Linked DNA regions of Rattus norvegicus. The protein of the gene in region 2 interacts with the protein of the main gene of each other region in a biochemical or structural test. Links are inferred from orthologs where the notes say so. Each region holds a gene or a part of one and is shown on either strand. Other genes may lie near its edges.

Region 1 (3,645 bases), on a different chromosome or scaffold from region 2:
ACGCCTGCAGCCGCCGCTGTGACCAGCAGAGGGCAGCGCGCGCCAGGCAGCTGCCACCCTGGAGGCCCCACCCCGGACAGCCACCAACTAGCAGGGGCCCGTACCTCCTCGGCTCCAGTGACGGAGTACGCATGTCCTTTCACCAACTTCTGGTACGTAACGGCCTCAGAATCCGCAGCGCTGGTGATCTGTAAACGCAAGGACAATAGGCGGCGGCTGCTCTAGCCCGGATACAAATGGCCCAGAAGGACGCACAAAGCACCCGGGCCCAGCCTGGGGGACTCTGAGCATCCATCCTGCCACCTGGAGGAGCAGCTTTCAGTTGCTGATCACCAAGGCGCAAGTTGGCGCATATCCCAAAGCCCCAGGAATCATCTTCTGGATGGGGAGGGTGTGCAGGGATTCACCTTCGAGACAAGGGTCTGTGGGAGGCCTAGAGACAGACACCCCATGGGGGAACTGTAGCCAAGATGCTCTAATTCCGCACCCCTACCCCGCCCAGCTCAGTTGCACAACGATGGCAGTTTTTTATTTCTACCCTCGCTTCAGAATCCGTGTATTGGGTTGCCAACTCCTTAAAAACCCTCCCTTCCCATTCTTTGGGCCCAGCTTGGGGAAGCTCCTCGCCAGGACTTGGGTCAGGCTCACTTTCCATTTCCCTGGTGAGGTTTGCCTGCAAAGCTATTTTGAAGAAACAGTTCCTTGCGGTACTCCCTGCAGTCTTAGCCAGGACCCATGAGCACTGGGACAGAGTGAGGAGAGGCTGCGGGGCTGCTCAAACAGCCCTGCAGGTGGGGGACAAGGTGCTAAAACCAGCAGAAGGGAGATGGGGGACTTTGTGTAACTTGCGCTCTTTGAGTAGAGTGATTCAGCACAGTTAGAATCCAAAGTGGGCTGGGGAGGAAGGGCAGGAATCACTGTTCCTATCTCAAATGCGCCCCCTAGAGAGCTATTGCCTAGTGATCCTGGGCTTCGGGAGCTGAGCAGTGGAATGCACCTTTGTTTTAAAGAGCCCCTCATCCCCAACCCCACCCTCACCCCACCCCTCCTCGGAGCGACAGCAGACTGAAGTGCTTGGAGAGGACCATGGAGACTTACATCGATAGAGCAGCCAAGCAGAGAACCTTTCTCCAAAGCCTTCTGGATGATCTTGAACAAATTGGGAGGAGGCTTCCTCAGCTCATACCACTCGGCAATGCCTCCTGTGAAGTCTTCAAAGCCCTCAGTGGTGGCACCCCCTGAGAGTGCTTCATAGCACCCATTGATCCTGAAGGAGGGAATTCACACTGCCACTCAGTGCCCTGGATGCTGCGGGGTGCACCTTCATCCCTGAAAATGCCACCCCACTCCAACTCAGATCCCCCCCATGGGAGCTCATGGGGTCCCCTGCTTTCATTCTCTTTGTCTTTGTCTCCAACTTGGGGTACCCAGGAAGGCAAGGCACTATCTCTGTAGTTACTTTTCCTCTGCGGCTATGACATGTTTTAGAATTTGTACCGAACCCTGGAGCTGGAAAGACTTAGTTCTGATCCAGCCTCTGGTGTTGACTCTAGCCTTGACACAGAGGTTGACACTAAAGTAATGAATCCAGCTTCCTGAGAAGCACACAGCAGGTTCCTGTGGTCATGCCCTGAGCTCTATGCTCCAAATTCTCTTGGCTAAGGACAGGGAGTCCCTACGCCCCATTTCTAGCCTGGGGCTGTAGGGATCCTAAACCCACTCACTCCGATCTTAATGCAGCGAGAGCACCAGCACCTGAGACCTCCACTTCAGAGGGCTGACATCCTGGGTGGACCTGGCACAACTTCGGGCCATCTGAGTGAGGCCCAGCTAGGATTAGAACTGGGAAACCATTCTTACCAGCCGCATGATTTATTCTGGGTGAGTTTCCACTATTTTCCTACCTTTGCAATGGGCAGATTTGCCATTGGAAGAAGGTTTTGGTCTTTTTGGTTAAGAGGCAACGGGGCCCACCAAAGAAGCAGAGTTCTTAAGGCCAGAGCAATTAGCCTCAGCATGTTCCAGTTCCCTTGCTCAAAAACAATGACCGTCCTGTACCAGTGTATCATGTGAACAACTCCCATGCCCACATTGCCTCCTTGAACTGAGAGCCCAATTTGGGCCAAAGTCATCCTTTTATAGAACAGAATGTCTACTCAAAACAGTCCCCAAAATAGCTCCTGTTTTAGAGTCCAGGGCAGCAGGGGCAAGATGGGGTGTTGGGGAAGGGCGTGGTTACTTACTTGGCATAGGCCTTCTCCAGAAGGGCACTCCAGAACTCGCTCCCCTCAGCTGAATGAACAAAGAGCAGCTCCCCGTCCTTAGTGGGCAGTCTGTCGTCCACCACCACCTCCACCCATTCGCCATATTGCCAGAACTGCAGGGCATGGGGGACAAGAGAGGGTGGCGCTGGGACTCCGAGCCTTGGCTTCATCTGGCCCAGCCCCTTGTTGTAAGTTCCCATGATTCTCTTCAGTGTCTTATGTTAAGCGTGCCCCTCACCAAGCAAGAGGCCAGTGGAGCTCAATGTAGGTCTCCAAAGCCACACACACTTTAAAAATGCCATCTCTCATTTGCTATCAGGGAAAGGAAGCCTTTTAACCTTTTATCTCAAACCTCAAATAATAAACTTAAAAACTTAGGGATTACTTCCTGAACACATTACTTCCTGTACACCATGATCTACCTCCATGGACTCTCCCCACCCCCAACTCCCAGCCATTCTGATGATGGGACTCCACATGGTGGACAGGTTGGGAAAATTTCTCTCTTCCAGCATTCTTTGCAGAACAGAACTGACCCCCAGAGTTCTCAAACCACCAGGGACCAGGAAGCTGAGGAGCAAAGTCAAGCTGGAGGAATCTGTTGAGTCCCTGAGCCAGGACGGGGAGGTGCCTTGGCCAACCATTAAGTTACCTGGAAATGGAAGATGCCTGCATAGTTTTCCTGGAAGCTCTGGTCTAGAGGCACAACTCGAGCCAGGATTTCTTCATTCAAGGTGAGGGAGGCGATGGCAGCCAGAAGCCAGCAGTCCCCTGAGAATGCAAAGCCATGAGCTCTGGTCAGGTCTTAGCTCCCGGAGGCTGTGAAGTCTTGTTCCTGCAGCTGGGTGCTTAAAACCCAACCTTACCCTGGAGTAGACGGAGCAGTGTTTCAGACAGTCTTCAACTACGGGATAGGTCACCTGGTCTGGTGGATATTTTGATGGAGAAACGCCATGTGTGGATGGCTAGATACAAGAGAGGTTCATTGTCTGAGAAACTCAGAACTCTGCGATGGCTGAACTGTGTCGTTAGAGCCTGGCCCTGTGCTCACACACAGGAACTATGCCCATCTATGGGCGAACCGAACTTAACAGGGCAACAAGAGGCCTCAGTGAAAAGAGGTTTCCGAGGGGCTGGGGATTTAGCTCAGTGGTAGAGCGCTTACCTAGGAAGCGCAAGGCCCTGGGTTCGGTCCCCAGCTCCGGAAAAAAAAAGAACCAAAAAAAAAAAAAAAAAAAAAAAGAGGTTTCCGAGAGGAGTTTGAATGAGAGGGAGAAAATGCAGCAGTCGACGAGGAGGGGCTGAACACTGCCCATCTCCTACAAGAATTCAGAGACAAGGAGAGAGATGCCTGGGCAGGGACAGGGACAGTGTGATCACG
Region 2 (4,153 bases):
TGATATGAATGACTTCTGGGTAAGCAGATGTATGTATCTGCACATGCGTGTTTGTATATGTGTTCTCATGTCTATGTGTACACACAGATATACATACGTGTGCCAAAGGTCCAAGTCAAATGCCTTCCTCAGTTGCGCTCCACCTTATTTTGTGAGATAGTCTTTCACTGAGCCTAGAACTCACTGATTTCAGCTAGACTGGCTGGTCAGCAACCAGAAACCCACCTGGCTCGGTTCCCTGCCTCAAGTACTGGGGATACAAACACACACTGGGATCTGAACTCTGGTTTTCATGCTTACACAGCAAGCACTATTCAGGTGAGGCATATCCTTGGCCTGAGTAAGTCTTTGTTAGCCTAGCATTTTGGATATACTGATTCAGTAGTTACCTTCACTGAAATCTGCTCAAATGAGGAACAATCAATATTGTCAAGAAGGTATTGAGGGGGGTTGGGGATTTAGCTCAGTGGTAGAGTGCTTGCCTAGCAAGTGCATGGCCCTGGTTCGGTCCCCAGCTCCAAAAAAAAAAAGAAAAAAGAAAAAGAAAAAGAAAAAAAAAAAAAAAGAAGGTATTGAGGGAGATGGAGAGGTGGCTCAGCAGTTAAGAGTACAGGCTGGCTTTCCAGATGACCTCGGTTCAACTCCTAACACCCACACAGCTACTCACAAGCCTGTTACTCCAGTTCCAGGGAATCTTCTGGCTTTAGTGGGCAACAGACACACAGTGCACAGACATACACAACAGTAAACACCAATACAATTTTTTTGTTTGTTTTCCATGACAGTTTCTCTGTATAGAGCTGGCTGTTCTAAAACTCTCTCTGTAGACTAGGCTGGCCTTGAACTCACTAGAGATTCCCCTGCCTCTACCTTCCAAGTGTGAGGTTAAAGGCCTACCACCCCTGCCAGCAAAAAAATACATATTTTTTAGTGTATTGTTTAAGAGCCCTATGCTGAGCTTCAATCCCAGGATGGTAGGTGGCAGAGGTACCTATTTAACATATCAAAGCGGACCTGAACTCCAGGTTCTCCCAGCATCCCTTAGTCCCTACTTATACCAGGGTATAGCTGGTATACCTACTCTCTACCCTGAACTCTCCAGACCATGGCCTAGCTGCCCTTCCCCTAGTGGTCCTTGCCTATGTAATTCATGTATTTTGGTAACCCAACCTCTTTGGTATACTTCTGCACCTTTGGCTCCTGGCTGCTGTATTTCCTTTCCCTCTCCCCATGTGGTTCAGGGTCATGACAACTCTGGGGTCTCCCAAATGTGTCTGCCCCAGGCTATGCTCTCCCACATCTCTTTAATAAACTTTCTCCTTCACCATACCTAGAAGTCATGTCCTTTCCATTTCTTCCTTCATTCACCCTAAAGATGACCCAGAGAGTAAAGGAGCTTGCTGCCAAAGCCTCAGACACCTGGAATCCACACCAAGTTGGAAAGAGAGGACAGACTTTATCAAGTCATCCTTGACCTCCACACAAGCACATGCATTTTTCTTTTAAGAATACATGGCAGGAGTCTCACAAAACAGTGTATAAAGTATAACATGTTTAAAATGGATTTTATCCCAAAGAGTATAACATGTTTAAAATGGACTTTATCCCAAAGCCTTTGGAAAATTACAAAAGAGTGGGGGAGGGGGTGGCGCACTCAGAGTCAGGGCACATGGTCATAATCCCAGCCAGCACTCAGGAGGCAGAGACAGTAGGATGGAGAGTTTGGGGCCAGCTTGGGCTACAAGAAATCTTGTCACAAACTAACTTGTTCCAGTTCCAAAAACACTATGAAAGGTCTTCTTAAGAACACTTTCATTTAACAACTTCCTTAGATTTACAGCATTTTTGTCTTTCTTTTGTCGTGCATGGACTTTAAACGTTGTGAATGAATGCTCCTTTACAAATGATAAAAACAAAGGCCTTTGCTCCAACTGTAATAATAGTCTCAACTAGCAACCCTCTCCAAACCTAAAATGATTATGAAACACGGAATCATGCCAAAGTTGTCCGAGGAACACCCAAATGACTTGATAATTGTATGCGAGCATAGACCAGTTTCTCGAGATGTCACAATACTGTAAAGCGTAGTCACTTAGGAATTAAGGTGAGGAAGAGACTAGCCAAATCACACAGTAGAAAGATTCTAATCTATCCATAATACCTAAAAACAAAGCTGGCCTCCTGGTCCGGAAAAATGGGAGAGCAGCCCAAACATCCCGTAATAAAAACTCTTATGACGACTTCCCTCCGGGATTTCCTACTTTACTTCCCAAGTGTCAGGCCCTTCAATGGGAGAGCCACGGTCACAACTGCAGAAGGACGTGGGATAGATCACCAAGATCTAAATGCATGGGACATTCCATCATAGAACTGAGTTGAGAGAGAAAGTTGGTTCTGCCAGAGGATAGGTCAGGGGGAGTGGGTGGAGTTGGGAAGGGTCCGTCAGGTGTGGAAAGGCGTCTCGCTAGACTAGACCACAGGAGAGAAGATAGAAGAAACCCGAAAAGGCGTGGCAAGTGAACAAGAAACGCCCGCGCTAATCCTCCGGATGAAGCCCCCCGAAATGCCCAGGTTACCCGCCCGGTCTTTTAGGGTGAGGGTGCCGGAGACGCATGCGGGAGGCTTCATGAACGGTGCCATGGGGGGAAGGCAGGAAGCACCCCTCACCCAGCCAAGTCGGGATGGGGGCGCTCGGGCCCCGCCTGAGTTCCTGAAGCGGCGACGCTGCTCCCCACGCCCGCCGCCGAGCCGCGGACGGCTCCCCACCGAACGCCCACACTCACTTTCTCGTGGAAGATGGACTCCATGTTTATTTGTCTGGAGCCAACGGCCCCGGCGCGGAGCAGCCCCCTCCAGCAGCTCCGCCCCCGGCCCCACCCCTCCGCCCCGGCCCGCCCCGCCCTACCCACGTGCCTCCCGCCACCCAATCACTACTGCGGGCGCACGTCACGCGGCACGCGAGCCGGGGAGCACGGGACACGTGACCTGGGCGGCGCTGGTCCTCCCGCCGCGTGTGTGATGCTGCGGCGCCGCCTGCTGTGCGGAGGAACTTCTCTACGCTAGACAATGTTGTGATTCTAGGGTTCTAGATGAGAATCCTCGCAGCCAGGTTTTAGGTTCTTTTTTTTTTCTCCATTTCCACCTTTTTTGGTACTTTCTGCTCAACTACGTGTAATACCTCCTCTCCCACTGAAAACCTCATTCCAAAAAAGGCATTCTCCCAATACCTAGTATTTGTGTGAAAACTATAGCTAGTATTTAGTTAGGGCTGACTTATAATAGTCCACTTCTAAGTGCGATTTAATGCGGCATTTTTGATGTGTGTGTATGTTGTAATATTATTATACAAATGAAGAAATGTAGGCACTAAGAAATTAGAATAGCACAGTGTCCAACACAGTTGCCTGTCGGAATGAGTATCAGGTCCCAGGATAAATGTACAATATCTGAAGGAGGAAGCGTCGATGGGGAAGTGAAAAGTCCAGTAAAATGTTGAGTGGCTCGCGCCGGGGGTGGGGGAGGGATTGACAAAGATTAAGTGTTATTTGGGCGCGGATCTTGTGTGGTGGAACCATTTTAGGTTCTTCAAAGTCAGCAAAGAAACTGGGTACAAAGACTCATTCTCCTAATCCTTGCACCTGAAGGTAGGAGGAGTATGTTGTGTTGGACTGTGGCAGCCTGTAACCAGGGTTTCTAGGACGATCCTGCCCGCCACCTCCCAACCAAAAACAAAACAAAACAAACAAAAAACCTACAGGAGGTTACAGATTTTCAAAACTAGAGACATGGGGTCAAATTAGAATTTTAGAAGATCACTGGGGAACAGAATACTTGAAAGGCATTTTGGGAGAAATGAGGAGACAATGGTGGTCAGAACTCCAGTAGTGATTTGAGAATGGAGAGAGACCAATTTGAAGTTTCAGGAAGCAGACTCAGAAGACTTTGGTGAGGAACTGGGGTGAAAGGGGTTATTGTTAGGAAAGATTTGTGGGTGTCTGCTGTAGGTACCACCTAAAGAAGGAGTAATACTCCAACCAGAAATACTGTGCAGAATGAGCAGGGTCTTGGGAAGGGAAGACAAGGGTTTAATTTGGGGAATAATGAGTTTAAATGTCTGTGCAACATAAGGTACTTTTGTGAGTAATAGATGTCT
Region 3 (3,553 bases), on a different chromosome or scaffold from region 2:
GCTCGAATTGCTGCCATGGCCTCTGCTGAAGGCCAGGATTCTGCTGAAGCCCAGGACTCAGCAGCGTCTGGTAAACCCAGCTCCTGAGAGCTCCTTTTCCAATAAAGCCAGCTGCTGACAGCCCACATTCTACACATTCTCCCACAGGTTGTGACTTCCTGGGTCCCCTGGCTCATTCCCCAACACCTGGAGTAGGAGAATCCCTCTGCTAGGCTGTGTTCACACCTGGACACTAGGCCATGTCATGCACTGAGGCTTGGGGAGAGAGGAGACTGGATGGGCAAATAATGACGGAGCAGATGGCAGTAGAGGAGGCTTCTGTTTACCAACATTAATCTCCAGTAATTAGCCAATTACCAGGGGGAGTACAGCCAAACAGACTACAGATAGAAGGAGCAGCAGCCATTCTAGGGCTGAGCTGGGGCAGGGGCCCAACTTTCCAGAGGGCAGAGATTCTGAGACCCCCCTCATAGGCTCCTTCCCCACTTCTCCGAATGCCCACTTCACCTGTGCCCCGGCCAGCTCAGACTCACAAACAGGTGTGAGAAGCTCCAGTAGGCATGAACCATTATTAGGGCTCATTTTTTAAAACTTTATTCACTTCAAAACCTTTATCAGAGGTGTTTCTGTCCTGGGGAAGGGGTGGCCTTGGCCTTCAGAACTGATGTTACCCCTTTTCCAGGCTGGAGGCCAAGGCGAGACTGGGGAGAAGGCCTTGGGCTTCTAACAGCCTTACTCCAGATGGGAAGATCGGGGCCACTCCAATGGAGATAAAGGTTTAGGGCTCCAGCTTCCCCTCATGGTAGAGGAAGGAGGGTTGTCCTTGGGGATGCTTCAGGGGCTGGGGAAACAGGCAGGCGCCTCTCCATCTGGCTACAGGGAGCTGGGACAGAGGCCAAGAGGGGCCCATCTGTCGCTTCCTGGTCTTGCCAACAACTTTGGGCAGGCTGGGCTCTGTTGAGAGGATAGGGACAGCTGTGTGGCCCAGGTCTTCTCAGACAGATGGGAATAGGGGCCACTTCAGGAGGGTAGGAAGCTGGGCTGGGTGGGTTGTTTTTTTTGTTTTTTTTAATGGTTTTTGATTTTTCTTCCTCTTAAATAAACATGAATATATATATATGTGAGATATATATATATATATATATATATATATATATATATATATATATATATATATATATATATATATATATACTTTTCTCTTATAAACTTTTGTGGAGTGGGGTGGGGGCCTTCTAGCCTCCCAGCATCACTCATCATCAAAGTTCTGACTCAGGAGGAAGTTGGCAGCCAAGTTCTCATTTTTCTCACACGCGAAGTAGGCCTGGATCACCAGGCTCTCCGGGAAGCCCAGTGCCTTCAGCTGTGGGGAGATGGCAAGGGTAAGAAGGGGGAGGTACTGGGCTGCCCACCATGAGTGGCTCGTTAGCCAGGCCTCTTACCCTTTCTATAGCTTCCTTCTCCTGCGGTGTCACCTGGATATAGTTCATCTGTGGGGCCTCCTCACCTAGGGCACCAACCTCCCCCTCTACATCAGAGATGTCCGCCAGCTCCCCGGGGGGCTCATTCAACATCTGGATGAACTGCTCCTGGTGACGGCTAATTTGCTGTGAGAAGAAGAAGGGTGACAATTCACAGTCCTTGTCACCTACGCCCAGGTTCCATTTTACACCCCTTGCTTATTATACCAAAGTGTCAGGTACTCTGACGCTGCATGCTCTGGCTGAATAGCCATGCAGCCATGGGAATAAGCTGTTCAGGTAGGGCTGAGGTGGCAAGGTGGGGAGACACACAGTGGCAGTGTCTTTAATACCGGCATTGGGGAGGCAGAGGCAGGTGGATCTGAGTTTAAGGCCAGCTTGATCTACAGAAGAGTTCAAGGCAGTCAGGGCTACATAGTGAGACAACATCTCAACAAACAAAACCAATGTGCCAGAACTAGGCATGGGGGTTCCTAACTATAATCCCAGCACTTGGGAGGCTGAAGCAGGAGAATCAACATGAGCTTTAAGCCAGCCTAACCTACACAGTAAGACTAAAGGGAAAAAAATAACAAAACAAAAAGTTCAAACCAAGGGGTTGGGGATTTAGCTCAGTGGTAGAGCGCTTGCCTAAGAAGCGCAAGGCCCTGGGTTCGGTCCCCAGCTCCGAAAGAAAGAACCAAAAAAAAAAAAAAGTTCAAACCAAGTGACTGCAAATGTGCTAGCTATGTCCCTGTGGCCTTGTAAGAGGGGCCTACTGTCCGTGGTAGAACAACCCATAAAATGCCCTGGGGTGGATCTACTGGGCAAGTCTCAGAGGAACTCTGTGGCAAGACAGCACAGAAAAGCTGAACTTTCTCCCCTAGCAGTGGGAAGCCACAGCGGCCAACAGCGGAGTTACTTGACCACTTTGTTTTGCCATGTTGCAAGGAAACCTGGCCTTAGCTGCTAAAAGCAGCAGTCAGCTAGTGAGGCACTCAATTTACACAACCTATTCTATTTTCTCTTTTTTGAGATGATCTCATTACTAGAAGGAGCTGGCTTCAAGTTCAATGATCCTCCTGCCTCAGCTTCCTAAGTGCAGGCCTAATGGTGTACACTACTACAACCAGCCACTCTGGTTAAATACACTCTACTTGGAAATCAGGAGGTTCTGATGTAGCCCTTTGCTTCTTCAAACATCTGACAATTTTCACATTAAAAAGGGCCTTTTCAGCAATCTAGCCTCTAGGTGGACAGTTCATTGAGGCACTGTGTAGACTTAAGAGGCCTGAGAAGAGGACGCTGGGACACCAGGTGGGAGAAATGGCTGACACTGGGATAGAAGCAGAGATAGTCCTCAGGAGGCTGTGAGAGGCTCGAGCAATCAGAGCAGAATGGCCTGAAAACTCAAGAGGTCCAGGGTCCCAAGGGATCTGGTGTGATATACAGGTTTAGGTCACCACAGAGGGTCAAGGTGAAGGTCATATCAGGAAGAAGGCCAGGACTGGAGAACAGAAGAAGAGCTTCAGGTTGACCAGGAACTCAGAAAAATGCTGTGGCCAGAGTCCAGGGCCCAGACATGGCAGCCTGCTCTGAGCCTCCGATGTCTTCAGTAGGTGGGTGCCTACAGCATCCACACCTCATGGGGAGTTACACGTAACCTTAGAAGGCATCAGGGAGCAAAAGGAGCAAAGCCTATGCTAGTTCTGCTTTCTCAGAGCAAAGCTATGTCCCTGGGCACTCGCTCCCCTGAGGAACTGGAAAGGCATCTGTCTCAGTTCCCTCACCCTGGGCCGCACCTGCAAGAGCTGAGGGTTCTCCTGGCCCAGCTGCTGGAGCAGAGCAGGCAGCAGCGCCGGGTTCTGCTGAATCACTTGCCGCATGTTCTGGAACTGAGGCTGGTCCCGCAGGAACTCTAGGGGGTTCTCCCCTGCTAGTGGCAGGAAGAAGTGTGGTCAGACCCCTGCGGGGGCTCCTGAATCCAGACTGGAGATGCCCACGAGTACACCATCCAACCAGCTCACCTGCTTCTGTGGCCGGTTGTTCGGGCGCCTGGCTTTCCTGGACAGAACCATGTTCAGGCTCAGGGC

What was found.
Region 1: of the proteins of Atxn3 (region 2) and Capn2, one has a biochemical effect on the other in vitro, tested with the Homo sapiens proteins (2 studies listed by BioGRID). The link is inferred for Rattus norvegicus from reciprocal best matches to the Homo sapiens genes ATXN3 and CAPN2.
Region 3: the proteins of Atxn3 (region 2) and Rad23a form a complex in vitro, tested with the Homo sapiens proteins (2 studies listed by BioGRID). The link is inferred for Rattus norvegicus from reciprocal best matches to the Homo sapiens genes ATXN3 and RAD23A.

Annotation. Positions count from the first base shown.
Region 1 is NC_086031.1:96,705,055-96,708,699, forward strand, and holds part of Capn2 (calpain-2 catalytic subunit), read right to left. Parts: intron 3,036-3,645; coding exon 2,917-3,035; exon of another isoform or gene 2,777-2,916; intron 2,378-2,776; coding exon 2,244-2,377; intron 1,882-2,243; exon of another isoform or gene 1,741-1,881; intron 1,268-1,740; coding exon 1,099-1,267; intron 189-1,098; coding exon 105-188; intron 1-104. UniProt on the Homo sapiens protein: Calcium-regulated non-lysosomal thiol-protease which catalyzes limited proteolysis of substrates involved in cytoskeletal remodeling and signal transduction. Proteolytically cleaves MYOC at 'Arg-226'.
Region 2 is NC_086024.1:126,869,870-126,874,022, forward strand, and holds the start of Atxn3 (ataxin-3), read right to left. Parts: upstream 2,913-4,153; 5' UTR 2,808-2,912; coding exon 2,784-2,807; exon of another isoform or gene 2,668-2,783; intron 2,634-2,667; exon of another isoform or gene 2,162-2,633; intron 2,135-2,161; exon of another isoform or gene 1,331-2,134; intron 1-1,330. UniProt on the Homo sapiens protein: Deubiquitinating enzyme involved in protein homeostasis maintenance, transcription, cytoskeleton regulation, myogenesis and degradation of misfolded chaperone substrates.
Region 3 is NC_086037.1:40,222,562-40,226,114, reverse strand, and holds the end of Rad23a (UV excision repair protein RAD23 homolog A), read right to left. Parts: coding exon 3,488-3,553; intron 3,397-3,487; coding exon 3,263-3,396; intron 1,608-3,262; coding exon 1,443-1,607; intron 1,364-1,442; coding exon 1,250-1,363; 3' UTR 955-1,249; coding exon of another isoform or gene 874-954; 3' UTR 572-873; downstream 1-571. Other genes in the region: Gadd45gip1 (large ribosomal subunit protein mL64), read left to right, coding at 1-87. UniProt on the Homo sapiens protein: Multiubiquitin chain receptor involved in modulation of proteasomal degradation. Binds to 'Lys-48'-linked polyubiquitin chains in a length-dependent manner and with a lower affinity to 'Lys-63'-linked polyubiquitin chains.